Linked DNA regions of Xenopus tropicalis. The protein of the gene in region 2 purifies or fractionates together with the protein of the main gene of each other region. This does not show direct contact. Links are inferred from orthologs where the notes say so. Each region holds a gene or a part of one and is shown on either strand. Other genes may lie near its edges.

Evidence for each region.
Region 1: the proteins of drg1 (region 2) and ntmt1 purify together in Homo sapiens (affinity purification with mass spectrometry; 3 studies listed by BioGRID and IntAct, counting the BioPlex papers as one, with this or other methods). This does not show direct contact. The link is inferred for Xenopus tropicalis from reciprocal best matches to the Homo sapiens genes DRG1 and NTMT1.

What each region holds. Positions count from the first base shown.
Region 1 is NC_030684.2:22,258,771-22,264,468, forward strand, and holds the end of ntmt1 (N-terminal Xaa-Pro-Lys N-methyltransferase 1), read left to right. Parts: intron 1-899; 5' UTR 900-912; coding exon 913-1,074; intron 1,075-2,196; coding exon 2,197-2,452; intron 2,453-2,540; coding exon 2,541-2,797; 3' UTR 2,798-4,099; downstream 4,100-5,698. UniProt on the Homo sapiens protein: Distributive alpha-N-methyltransferase that methylates the N-terminus of target proteins containing the N-terminal motif [Ala/Gly/Pro/Ser]-Pro-Lys when the initiator Met is cleaved.
Region 2 is NC_030677.2:152,070,478-152,076,880, forward strand, and holds the start of drg1 (developmentally-regulated GTP-binding protein 1), read left to right. Parts: upstream 1-2,516; 5' UTR 2,517-2,581; coding exon 2,582-2,623; exon of another isoform or gene 2,624-2,643; intron 2,644-2,826; coding exon 2,827-2,950; intron 2,951-4,121; coding exon 4,122-4,297; intron 4,298-5,095; coding exon 5,096-5,165; intron 5,166-5,247; coding exon 5,248-5,417; intron 5,418-6,403. UniProt on the Homo sapiens protein: Catalyzes the conversion of GTP to GDP through hydrolysis of the gamma-phosphate bond in GTP. Appears to have an intrinsic GTPase activity that is stimulated by ZC3H15/DFRP1 binding likely by increasing the affinity for the potassium ions.

The DNA of each region.
Region 1 (5,698 bases), on a different chromosome or scaffold from region 2:
GACCTTCCTGGCATAAATGGCGTTAATCCATTGAGATGTTAAAAATAGAGTTGGAGTCGGGGAGAGCGTTGCGCTGAATTGCTCTGCTTTACAGACCGCGGATGCTCTTCTCAGTGTAATCCAATCCAAAGTCATTTGAAATGCCGAGTATTGAAATGAGCTGCACTTAGAGAAACTTTACCTACTCTGTCAGCCAGCCACACAGTGCAGACACTATTCTGTTTGCGAGCACTATTTGTTTCCCTTTACTTAGATGTATATTGTGTCTGCTCCCAAAATTGCATTTTGAGTGACAGCTGCCATATTGTTAACCTTAGACTGTACAGTATGACGGTACAGCTTATTGTGTGCCCAGAAGGGGGAATACCTTTTTAAAGATGGCTGCCTGTTCAAGAAAACAGATAGAAAATGTGAAGTAAGTGTGACTGAGTAAATATTTGATTAGGTGAGCCAAAAGTGTGGCTATTTACTAAACAATAGGAGGACTATTGGGCAGTATGCAGTAATCTCCCCGTGTACCAGAGCCCTTAAGGGTGTGCTTACACCACTGCTGCATTGTTAGCCACTCAGTGTAAGGTTGGCCGGCGTGGAGGTCCAAACCCAGCCTGGACTTAAACTTGGTATCTATCATCTATTATCTGTCTATCTATCCACTGTATCTATCTGTCTGTCTCCGAGAGACATGGCTCTATCTGACTATCATCTATCTATCTCTTTATCATCTCTCTGTCTCTATGTGATATATTTATATTTCCCATGGTCAGAGAGACACAGCCCTATCTGTCTGTCTGTTACACTCTCTGTGGAATTTCCATATAATTAACTGTCTCATTAAACCTGTGTTTTGGGGCAAAACAGTTCATTGTATATGAAAGCAAATCCCTTCCTTCTGCTTCCAGATCCAAGTCCATAATGTCGACAGAGCTGGTGGAAGACGAGGCCCAGTTTTACTGCAAAGCCCAGAAATATTGGAAGAATGTTCCGGCTACGGTGGACGGCATGCTGGGGGGATACGGGCATATATCCAATATCGATCTCAACGGTTCCAAAAAGTTCCTCCAGAGGTTTCTGCGAGTAAGTATTCTTGGAAGCATCAGGGGTGGATATATTAAGGTTCTAGATGCTGATCCAGGCAGTCCATGTACTCTGTAACTATAATTTTATATGTACAGACATTGAGGGGTGAAACTTTCTTTACAAGGTATGAGCCAGGCAGGACCCTTACTTTGGGTTATTAAATTCAATTTATATTTAATTATTGTTTGTGGGGGCTGCTCTACTGCTTACTATAGTACCAGGCAATTGAAGTTAAGAGGGCAGGGAGAAAGGAAGGAGCAGCTATTGGCTGGCAGGGACACCTGTGCCACTTCTTTAATCCTATGTGAATAGCTGCGGGGTGTTTTTAGTAGCTCTCTGAAAGCTGATAGGTACAGGGAATAAGCGCTGCATTGGTATCTGAGGAGTTGCCTCTGTAATAGCGTGTACTCTGCTTTATCATCAAAAATATAAATGGAGCTATGGTAAAGGCTAAATTAACTAGGTATTGGGTGGCCCAATAGGCTTCTCTGTACTGTGCAGCTGTAGGGACCATTAGATAAATACCTGGTCACACTAATCCAGCTGTTTCCCAGGATGTAATGTTATGCTGTTGTGAATTAAAGCTTTAGCCGTCTGGCTGAGGATGCTGTGAGTTGTAGGTTTTAATACCAGATAGACAGTGCAAATTCTAGTCTTTATTTTGCCTTTATTGCTTGACTCATTAACAGCCAACTAGCAAGGACACTTTACCCGAGCCTCTAATTGCATATTTTTACATGCCACTTTTTATCACTGGGAAGTGCCTTCCCAATTAGCAGCCATCCTTGTGACACCCATTAAAGAAGCCCTTCCTGCCTATTCAGGCCCAGACTGGCGATCTGTGGTTTCTGACAAATGCCAGAGGGGCTGCTGACGCCATAGACAGTCACTATTTATTGGGCCCGTGGGGGGGGCTGTTTGGGCCTCTGTGTACTTGGAATGCCAGGATCTATTTTGAATGCCAGTCCAGGCCTGTACCTACTGATACGATGGAATCTGCAAGTTCTGCTTGTAAATTGCAGCATTAGTGTTGGTTTCCACTACCCACACATGATCCATAAATCCCCTCTGAGCTCAGGTTAGACCGGCATTCTCACCAACGTTATTTTCCCCAACCAGCAGGAAGGGTCAAACAAGACCGGGAACATGTACGCCCTAGACTGCGGCGCCGGCATCGGCCGGATCACCAAGCGACTGCTGCTGCCGCTCTTCAAAAAAGTAGACATGGTGGACGTGACGGACGAATTTTTGAGCAAAGCTAAGAGCTACCTTGGCGAAGAAGGCAGTAGAGTTGGGAACTATTTTTGCTGCGGCCTGCAGGAGTTTTCCCCAGAGCCAAACCGCTATGATGTCATTTGGATCCAGTGGGTAATAGGTAAGCGTGAGATGCACCTTTCCCAGCATGCACAGAGCCCAAATCCCAGTACGGTGCTTGGTGTTTGACCCCTTTTCTTTAACGGCAGGGCACCTGACAGATGAACACTTAGTGGACTTCCTAAAGAGGTGCAGTCTGGGCCTTCGGCCAAACGGCATCATTGTCATCAAGGACAACGTCACTCAGGATGTCTCCATCATGGATGACGTAGACAGCAGCATCTGCAGAGATATCGATTTAGTCAGGAAGCTCATCAAACAAGCCGGCCTCTCGCTCTTGGCCGTAGAAAGGCAGGAGAATTTTCCTGACGAAATCTACCACGTCTTTTCCTTTGCCATGAGATAAACCCTGCCCTGAGAACCATTTGTAGAGCGGTCCATCATTTTGGGAAGCTTTCTTGACTGTTCTGGTTTGCCAAAAGATGTGGCATGGCGAGACGGGGGGGGGCAGGGTTACAGCAGACGCACTGAAGCGACAGATGAAAATTTGGAACTGGGACAATTGGCAGGATATTTAATATAAAAAAGGCATGAAACTGAGATTTTCTAAAAACGGAGAAATAGTTCTGTGGAAGGGACCCTGAGCATGCGATGGATTTATGTAAAAGGAAGTGACCTACATGGGGGTAAATTGTGTGCTTTGTTCCCAAGAGGAGTACTGGGAAGTGGAAGCGCATGCCTTCATATCCGAAAATGAGTCCTGACACCTCCCAAAATGTTAAATATTTTAATAAAATTATTTTCCTTCATCCTGCCTTTTCCCTTTGGTGCTAGTTACTGGCGTCATGCAGCAGCAGCCAAACCCATCATCAATATTGGGATTACACGTGTGTGTCTGCAAACATTGCCGCTGTACAATCATCAATTAGAAGGATTTACCTATGTCTGATCAAAAGACGCTTCGAATTGTGGTTGTTTGGACCCAGGCACCCCTGGGTCCATAATGTGCGAGCATGGACCGCTATACCCTGCAGCGTGGGCACGTCGAACTCTGTGGTTGCTCAGAACGCCCAGCTCCACATCCAGTGACTTTCTGTATATAGGAGACCCTGTGGATTCTGGCAAATGCCAGAGGGGCTGCTGTAAGATGCCATAGACACTATTTATTGGACCTCTATGTAGCTGAAATGTATTACTGCAGAAGGGGTCACTGCAGCTCGTTCAGTAACTGGGAAGGCAGTTGACACAAAGGGGTAATTCACCTGTTAACTTTTAGTATGTTCTACAATAGTAAATTTGCATCAACTTTTCAATGTCTTCATTTTTTTTTAATAATTTGCTTTCCTTTTCCAACTATTGCTGTGAGATTACAATTTTATTGTTACATTTTATTACTTATCTTTCTATGGGCCCTCTGCTAATTTATATTCCTGTCTCATTAATTTGGACCCTAGCAACCATAGAGCCACTCAAATTTCAAACTGGAGAGCTGCTGAACAAAAAAGGATAAATAATAAAAAAAAACAAATAATAAAAAATGAAGACCATTTACAAATTGTTTTGGAATGTCACTCTCAGCATACTAAAAAGTTAACAACCCCTCTAAAAAGATGTTTTATTCAAACAAGTCCTATGCGTGTGTCTAACAACCATCTTATCTCTCTAACCCCCACTCCTGTGTTGGGTTTTATAAACCAGCCATATTTCATTGGTGTAGTTGTGATTCTTCTTTACCCAGTAGATGGTGCTCCTGGTTTCAGTAGGGTCAAAATAGGATTACAAATAAGTATACAAAGGAATAAGAAGACAGGGGGTGCGTTGTGAAAGATGTTTATTAGAATAAATCAGGTTTTCCTTTGCTTTTGGGGTGGTGCAGGCAAAGGAGAACTGAGTACACATTCTAACCCAACCTTGTGAATGTGCTAGATTCGCAAAGTCACAAATTAACCCAAGGCAGAACACTCTTTGGGAATGGGCATTTAGGGACCAGGGCATTTGTCTCTGCTTTGCAGAAACTCAGTTCTATGTAAAAGGAAAAATTGGTAAACAAAATTAAAGGGATTACATACGGTCTGGCTTTAGTAACATAGTAACATAGTAAGTTGGGTTGAAAAAAGACATACGTCCATCAAGTTCAACCATAATGCCTATACCTAACCTGCCTAACTACAAGTTGATCCAGAGGAAGGCAAAAAACCCCATCTGAAGCCTCTCTAATTTGCCTCAGAGGGGAAAAAATTCCTTCCTGACTCCAAGATGGCAATCGGACCAGTCCCTGTATCAACTTGTACTAAGAGCTATCTCCCATAACCGTGTATTCCCTCACTTGCTAAGAATCCATCCAGCCCCTTCTTAAAGCTATATAATGTATCAGCCAGTACGACTGATTCGGGGAGGGAATTCCACAACTTCACAGCTCTCACTGTAAAAAATCCTTTCCGAATATTTAAATGGAACCTCCCTTCTTCTAAACGGAGTGGGTGCCCTCGTGTCCGTTGGAAGGACCTACTGGTAAATAAAACATTAGAGAGGTTATTATATGATCCCCTTATATATTTATACATAGTTATCATGTCACCTCTTAAGCGCCTCTTCTCCAGTGTAAACAGACCCAACTTGGCCAGTCTTTCTTCATAACCGAGACTTTCCATACCCTTTACCAGCTTAGTTGCCCTTCTCTGGACCCTCTCTAGCTCAATAATGTCCCGTTTGAGCACTGGAGACCAAAACTGAACAGCATATTCTAGATGGGGCCTTACCAGTGCTCTGTAAAGGGGAAGAATAACCCCCTCCTCCCGTGAATCTATACCCCTTTTAATACAGCTCAGAACCTTGTTTGCCCTTGCAGCTGCTGCCTGGCATTGCTTGCTACAGCCAAGTTTATTATCTACAAGGACTCCAAGATCCTTCTCCATTATGGATTTGCCTAGTGCAGTCCCATTAAGGTTATACGGGGCTTGCATATTTTTACATCCCAGGTGCATGACCTTACATTTATCCACATTAAATCTCATCTGCCACTTAGCTGCCCAGATTGCCAGTTGGTCAAGATCCTGCTGCAGGGATGTCACATCCTGGATAGAATTGACTGGTCTGCAGAGTTTTGTGTCATCTGCAAACACTGATACATTACTCATAATACCCTCCCCTAAGTCATTTATGAACAAATTAAACAAAAGTGGACCCAGTACAGAACCCTGAGGGACCCCACTGAGAACCTTACTCCAAGTAGAGAATGTGCCATTAACAACCACCCTCTGTACCCGATCCTGTAGCCAGTTTTCTATCCATGTGCAAACGACTTCAC
Region 2 (6,403 bases):
GGCAGAGTATGGCACACACAGGCAGGGTAGGGAAGGCAGAGTATGGCACACACAGGCAGGGTAGGGAAGGCAGAGTATGGCACACACAGGCAGGGTAGGGAAGGCAGAGTATAGCACACACAGGCACTCAGGCAGGGTAGGGAAGGCAGAGTATGGCACACACAGGCATGGTAGGGAAGGCAGAGTATGGTACACACAGGCAGGGTAGGGAAGGCAGAGTATGGCACACACAGACAGGGTAGGGCAGGCAGAGAATGGCAGGTTTTTGCTGTACTACAATCATTAATATGGGTATGGTCATGTGATAACATGGGTGTGGTTTCAAAAAGGGGAGTGGTCAAAATTGGCTTCCATTATCGGCCCTCCACCACGTAGGTCGGAAAAATTCCGGCCCTTGGTACCACAGAAGTTGGACAGCACTGATGTAGAGAGTAATAGTCTAAGACAGTTTGCAGTAGGTCATCATTTTTTATTTATCGTTTCTTATTTAAATTTTTTGTTTAGGAGCTCTCCAGTTTGGAGTTTCAGCAGATATCTCATTGCTAGGTTCCAAATTAACTTAGCAACCACAAAGTGGTTTGAATGAGAGACTTGTATATGAAAAGAAGAGGACCTGATTAGAAAGATTAGTAATAAAAAGTAACAATAAGAATAAAACTGTAACACCAGAATTATGTCTGTTGGCCCAGATTGAGAAGTTATTGCCACTCAATAAAACTAGATTGTTGTCTACGACCCTACTATATCATGCAAAGAAATCGGTAATACTGAACTGGAAGGGAAATAATGCCCATTCAGTTAAACTATGGTTTACCCTTATTAACTCAAGAGCTGGCAACATTAGATCTTAAACTCTATTTTTTCTCAAACACACACTTTGTGACAGGAAACTGCCTAGAGTTGGGGCCCTATATGATATACATTTTACATTAGTGTTAGTGAAGATCTGCTTCAATTTTGTATCCCTATATAAAATTGGAAATATTTATATAAACGATTTTTTCAAAAATTCCTCACTATATTCTGTTGAAAAATAAATAATATCTTTGCCTAAAAAGGATCCTCCTTTCACTTCAACTGATTTATTTTTAGGGACCAATAAACTTTCCCTCTGTGTAGTAAGAGTCAGCGACCCCCATTTGAAAGCTGCATGGATTCAACAACTATAACAAAAAAAAAAATGAAGACCAATTGAAGAGTTGCTAAACTTATAGGGGAACTACACCTGTAATTCTATTACACACAAAGTTAGTAAAAACTAGGGTTGCCACATTTTCTGGAAAAAAATACAGGCCTTCCTATATTTTTATCTTTTTTTCCTATTAATAACATTGGCATTAAGCATCATTTTTACCGACCACACCGATAAAATACTTGCCAGGTGGCAAGCCTAGAAGAAATAGTAAAGTCGGTAGATGCAATTTATATTATTCACGACTTTAGAATAGTATATGAAAAGAGCTATCATAATTCCAGAGCTGTCAACTCCCCCATACATTGTACAAGTGCAAGTACCTATTTTTTAGGCTTTGGCTGCACATTTGCACATGATATCACTTCTGGGGGCGCACACTCATGGATCATTCACTTACAGTCTTTGGAAAAAAATTTCAGGGGTGTGCTGGCCCATCCCCCGGACAGCATATTTTGAACGTTCTGTAATTATTATTTTTATGCATTATAGGACACATTAAGGCAGGGGTCGGGAACCTTTTTGGCTGAGAGAGCCATAAACACCACATATTTTAAAATGTAATTCTGTGAGAGCCATACAATATATTTGGCCGCGGATGCTGCGGGGCAAGTTAGGGTGGGTCCAAAGGATTCCGGATGCAGATGCGAAGCAGAGGAGGGTGTGGCCTGCACTCGGCGGAGAAAAGACGTGTTCTAAGGCTTAGAACACATCTTCTATCCGCCGAGCGCAGGGGCAAGGTAGGGTGGGTGCCAAGGATGCCGGATGCGATGTGGAGGAGGGCGTGGCCTGCGCTCGGCAGATAGAAGACATGTTCTAAGGCTTAGAACATGTCTTCTATCCGCCGAGCACAGGCCACGCCCCCCATTATTTTTTTTTATTAAGGATTTGACAGTGAGCCAGATGCAGCCAACAAAAGAGCCACATCTGGCTCCCGAGCCATAGGTTCCCTACCCCTGCATTAAGGTATAGGACTCCACACTGGCATGAAAAAAATAAAATATTCTATTTCAGTATATGTTTATGAAAAATAGCTCATTCCCAAGGTTTAGGGGGGGGTCCCTAAAATCAATTTACTGTGAGGTCCAGCAACTACTAGTTACACCACTTTTATAAAAATACTCATTTATACATTTCTATATTTTATATAATGTTTTTGCAACTTTCAGATTGGACGCACAAAACGTCCAGTAAGACAGCTTTTACCATAGAGTAGGAAAATCTGCGTCACGAAGGGCTATCCTCAGCTAAAAGGAAGAGGCCGAACGTACGTGTGTGACGTCATTCCTGCCGGTTGTTGTGTCTGCGCATGAGCAGTGGTGTCCCTGCGAGGTCCTGTCTTTTCTGTTACTGATTCGTGCTGGAAAAGCCACCTAGTCAAGAGGCACAATGAGCGGGACGCTGGCTAAGATCGCCGAGATAGAGTCCGAGGTGACTGAGACACTTGGAGGGTTAGCGCATATCGACTTGTTGGGGACATAGTTGAGAGCACGTGTGTAAGGATAATCACTGGGATGAATGGTTATGGCTGAAGCAGCTGTGTGGGACAGTCATGGTTTATGATAACATAAAGGCAATAATGACAATAACCTGTGCCAGGTATGACAGTGACACGCCTGCTTTCTGTCCTGCAGATGGCCCGGACACAGAAAAATAAAGCCACAGCTCATCACCTGGGTTTGCTGAAAGCTCGTCTTGCCAAACTAAGACGTGAGCTGATTACCCCAAAAGGAGGCGGCGGAGGAGGACCTGGAGAAGGTATATCAACTACTATCTGGTTGCCAGGGCCTAATTACCCTGGCAACCATGCTGTGTTTCGCAAATCGGGATTTAAGAAGAACAGAAAAGAAAGATAATCGAACATAAGAATCTCTTGGTTGAATCTGTTTTTTGATTGCCATGGCCAGTAACAATAACCAGAAAGTATTTTTTTGCAGGCTGAATCTGGCTAGATTAGAAATAATAAGTAAAACAAAAACATTTGTGTGTGTGTATATATATATATATATTTTATAATAAATTCCATTTGAATTCTTTTTGGAATAAGCCCCTTAATAAAATACCAAAAGGTAATTAAAGGCAAACTTCCACTTTTACTAAAATTTTAACACTGGGTAGTCACTGTTTCCATGTACATTATTAATAATTTTTTTATCTTTTTGGCTTATTGAAATAAACAAGATGCATAAATATGGAACCTGGTTTCCTTCCTCAGTGCCACGTTTATCACTATGATTAGCATTTCTGAATCCAGCACCTACCTTATTATGTTTTGGTGTAGGGCGTCAGTCATGAGAACCTAAGACATAGATCATTAAACATGTTTGTATAACCCCTGTAACAACCACCTTGATACCCAGTAGCCTCCTGATTTTGAGAAGCATGTTACTTCATCTGCACATTGGCAATGTTGGGGAGATGGCAATGTTGGGGAGATGTACATGAATGAGTACAACTTCTGTGTTTTTTAAGTAAAAAAAAAAAAAAAAAAGACTTTTTTCAAAGTTACATTTAAACATCTTAAAAGGCCTTTGGATATGGCAAAAAATCCTATTGGTTTGGGTTATTTGTAAATGTTGTCATTTACTAGACTTAAGCATGGTGCTTCAAATTACTGAAAAATCCTAACCTGTATAAGCTCAACTGTGGTACCTACTGTTGAATATACCTTTGCTAATCAAGCCTATGTTCTCCCTCACAGAGCTCACAGATAAATTGTCTGCTTTAATGGTTCTATTTTCAAGTAGTGGTACAATATCTGTGGGACTGTGATTGGCTTTAGTTCTTACTATTACAACTATATATTTTTTTTGCTCTCACATGTAATATAAGCTGTTAGAATGGCCAAGAGCACAAAGGATGATGATTTTTTCTGATATTTTTGATATGTGCTGACAGTTTACATGTATGATTTGTGTCTCTTACTTAGGTTTTGATGTTGCTAAGACAGGAGATGCTCGAATTGGGTTTGTTGGGTTCCCATCTGTTGGGAAATCTACACTACTCAGTAACTTGGCTGGAGTTTATTCTGAAGTGGCAGCCTATGAATTTACCACCTTAACAACAGTTCCTGGTGTTGTGCGATATAAAGGAGCAAAAATTCAGGTGTTTGTTTTACTTATATAAAATAATTAAAATAGCAGCTTATTTATCAGAGGTTAAGTTGAAATACAAAATCTTAAAAAAAAAAAAAAATAAAGGCTACTCCATTATCCAGAAACCTTGTTATACAGAAACTGCTGAATTATGGGAAGGCCATCTCTTTTAGACTTCATTATAAGCAAATAATTTAACATCCTCTGTAATAATAAAACTGTACCTTGTTCTTGATGCAAACTAAGCTGTATGAATCCATATTGGTGGTAAAAATGTTTAATTATATTAGTAGACTTAAATACAGAAATATCCCTTTTCCAGAAAATCCCAAGCATTCTAAATAATAGATTTCTATTGTCTCCTTTATTCTCTTTCAAAAAGTGCAGGCTGAAACCTGTCAAAATCCAGTCAAAACATTAGTGTGTATTTCAACTGAACTTTTTCTGCACTGAAGTATTCTCAACAGTTTCTTGATTTTTTTTTGAATTTTTTTTACTAAAATCAACAGAAACCTGTGTAAATATTGTGCAGTATGTTTTCAAGCATTTTCACTATGGTGAAACTTGAGTGTAATTTAGAAAATGTAACCAGCAAATGATAAATGTGAGCCTAGAAATGCTCTGTAGCATTTTTCAAGAGTGTTGTTTGCCAAGAAATCTCAAATTTGCTTTAAATGTTGCCCTTTAGACTCCAAAGCTACAGGAGACATTTGAGATAGTATATGACATTTTCATTTGTGAGATGGATATGCTCTGAATGCGGAGACATTAAGCTCAATGACCAAAGATGGTATATTTTTGTTTTTAGTTGCTAGATCTTCCAGGCATCATAGAAGGGGCAAAGGATGGAAAGGGCCGTGGTCGCCAGGTGATTGCAGGTAAGATCTTTAATTTTTGAGGATTGAGTCTCCTAGGACGATGGACACATTTTTACTGCTGATGTATTTTTGTTTTGTTTAGTGGCACGAACATGTAACTTGATCCTTATTGTTTTGGATGTACTGAAACCACTCGGACACAAGAAGATCATAGAGAATGAACTGGAGGGATTTGGAATCAGATTGAACAAGCAGCCTCCAAACATTGGATTTAAGAAGAAAGACAAGGGTGGCATAAACCTCACAGCAACAGTAAGCAAAGGACTTGGGTATAAAAGGGGAAATAACCAAGAGGCTCAGAAAGAAGAGAAACAAAATCAGATGTTTTTAAAGGGCATGTATGGTTTTCAATGCTAAAAATGCTAGCAACTGCTAGTAAACTGTGCAACTGCTAGTTAGAATATCCCATGATTAACTCAGGCTCATGTTATACTAGGCATGATTTAGTGGCATATATGCAGAGAGTTAGCCTCATGTTTTTGCAGCCCTGGAAAGCCTCTCAACAGCTAACTGTTCTAAAAACACCCAGTTTACTCCAGCAGAAAAGTTGTTTGTTCTTTAAGATCCTGTAGTGAAATTGTAATGAAAAAAATGAATGAATCAAGACCTTGTAAAAAGTGGCACAATCACTTATTTTTCAGTTATTCGTGTTTTAACCAAACTTATAACATATTTAAGGGGGCATAAATGGAAAACGTTGTCAAAGTTGTCCTCTTAATACTTTTGGCATTTAATTTTCTTGCGTGTTTTAAAGATAATTGTATCCTTACACCACTAAAAAGATTGCTTTGGCACAGCAGCTTTCTGTAAGGGCTGCTGAGTGAGTTACCTGGGGGTTATTTAAATATGCTAGTAGCAGACACAGTGAGATGACCCTCTCCGTATCACTCACTGCCTCCATCCGGAGGGATGTTACTCTCCTCATGCTCTGCCCAGCTTTCTAAGTCCCTTTTTTACTTCCAAGGTAAAGCAAGTCCAGGTAAAGCACATTTTCCTTTTGAAAGTGAATTTACAGCAGGACAGTGTTTACAGACAGCTAGGATACTGGCTAGGCAATTCCATGCTGCATTAAATAAGCAAATCCCAACTTTCAATTAAAAATAATGTGCATTTTTACATATATGATATATGTAAGGGACTTCTATCCATCCTTTTTTTCCTTTTGTATTTGACTGTATTAATCTGTTATGAGATTATTTTATTTTTTTTATTTTTTCTCCCCTGGTTTAGAGGTGTTA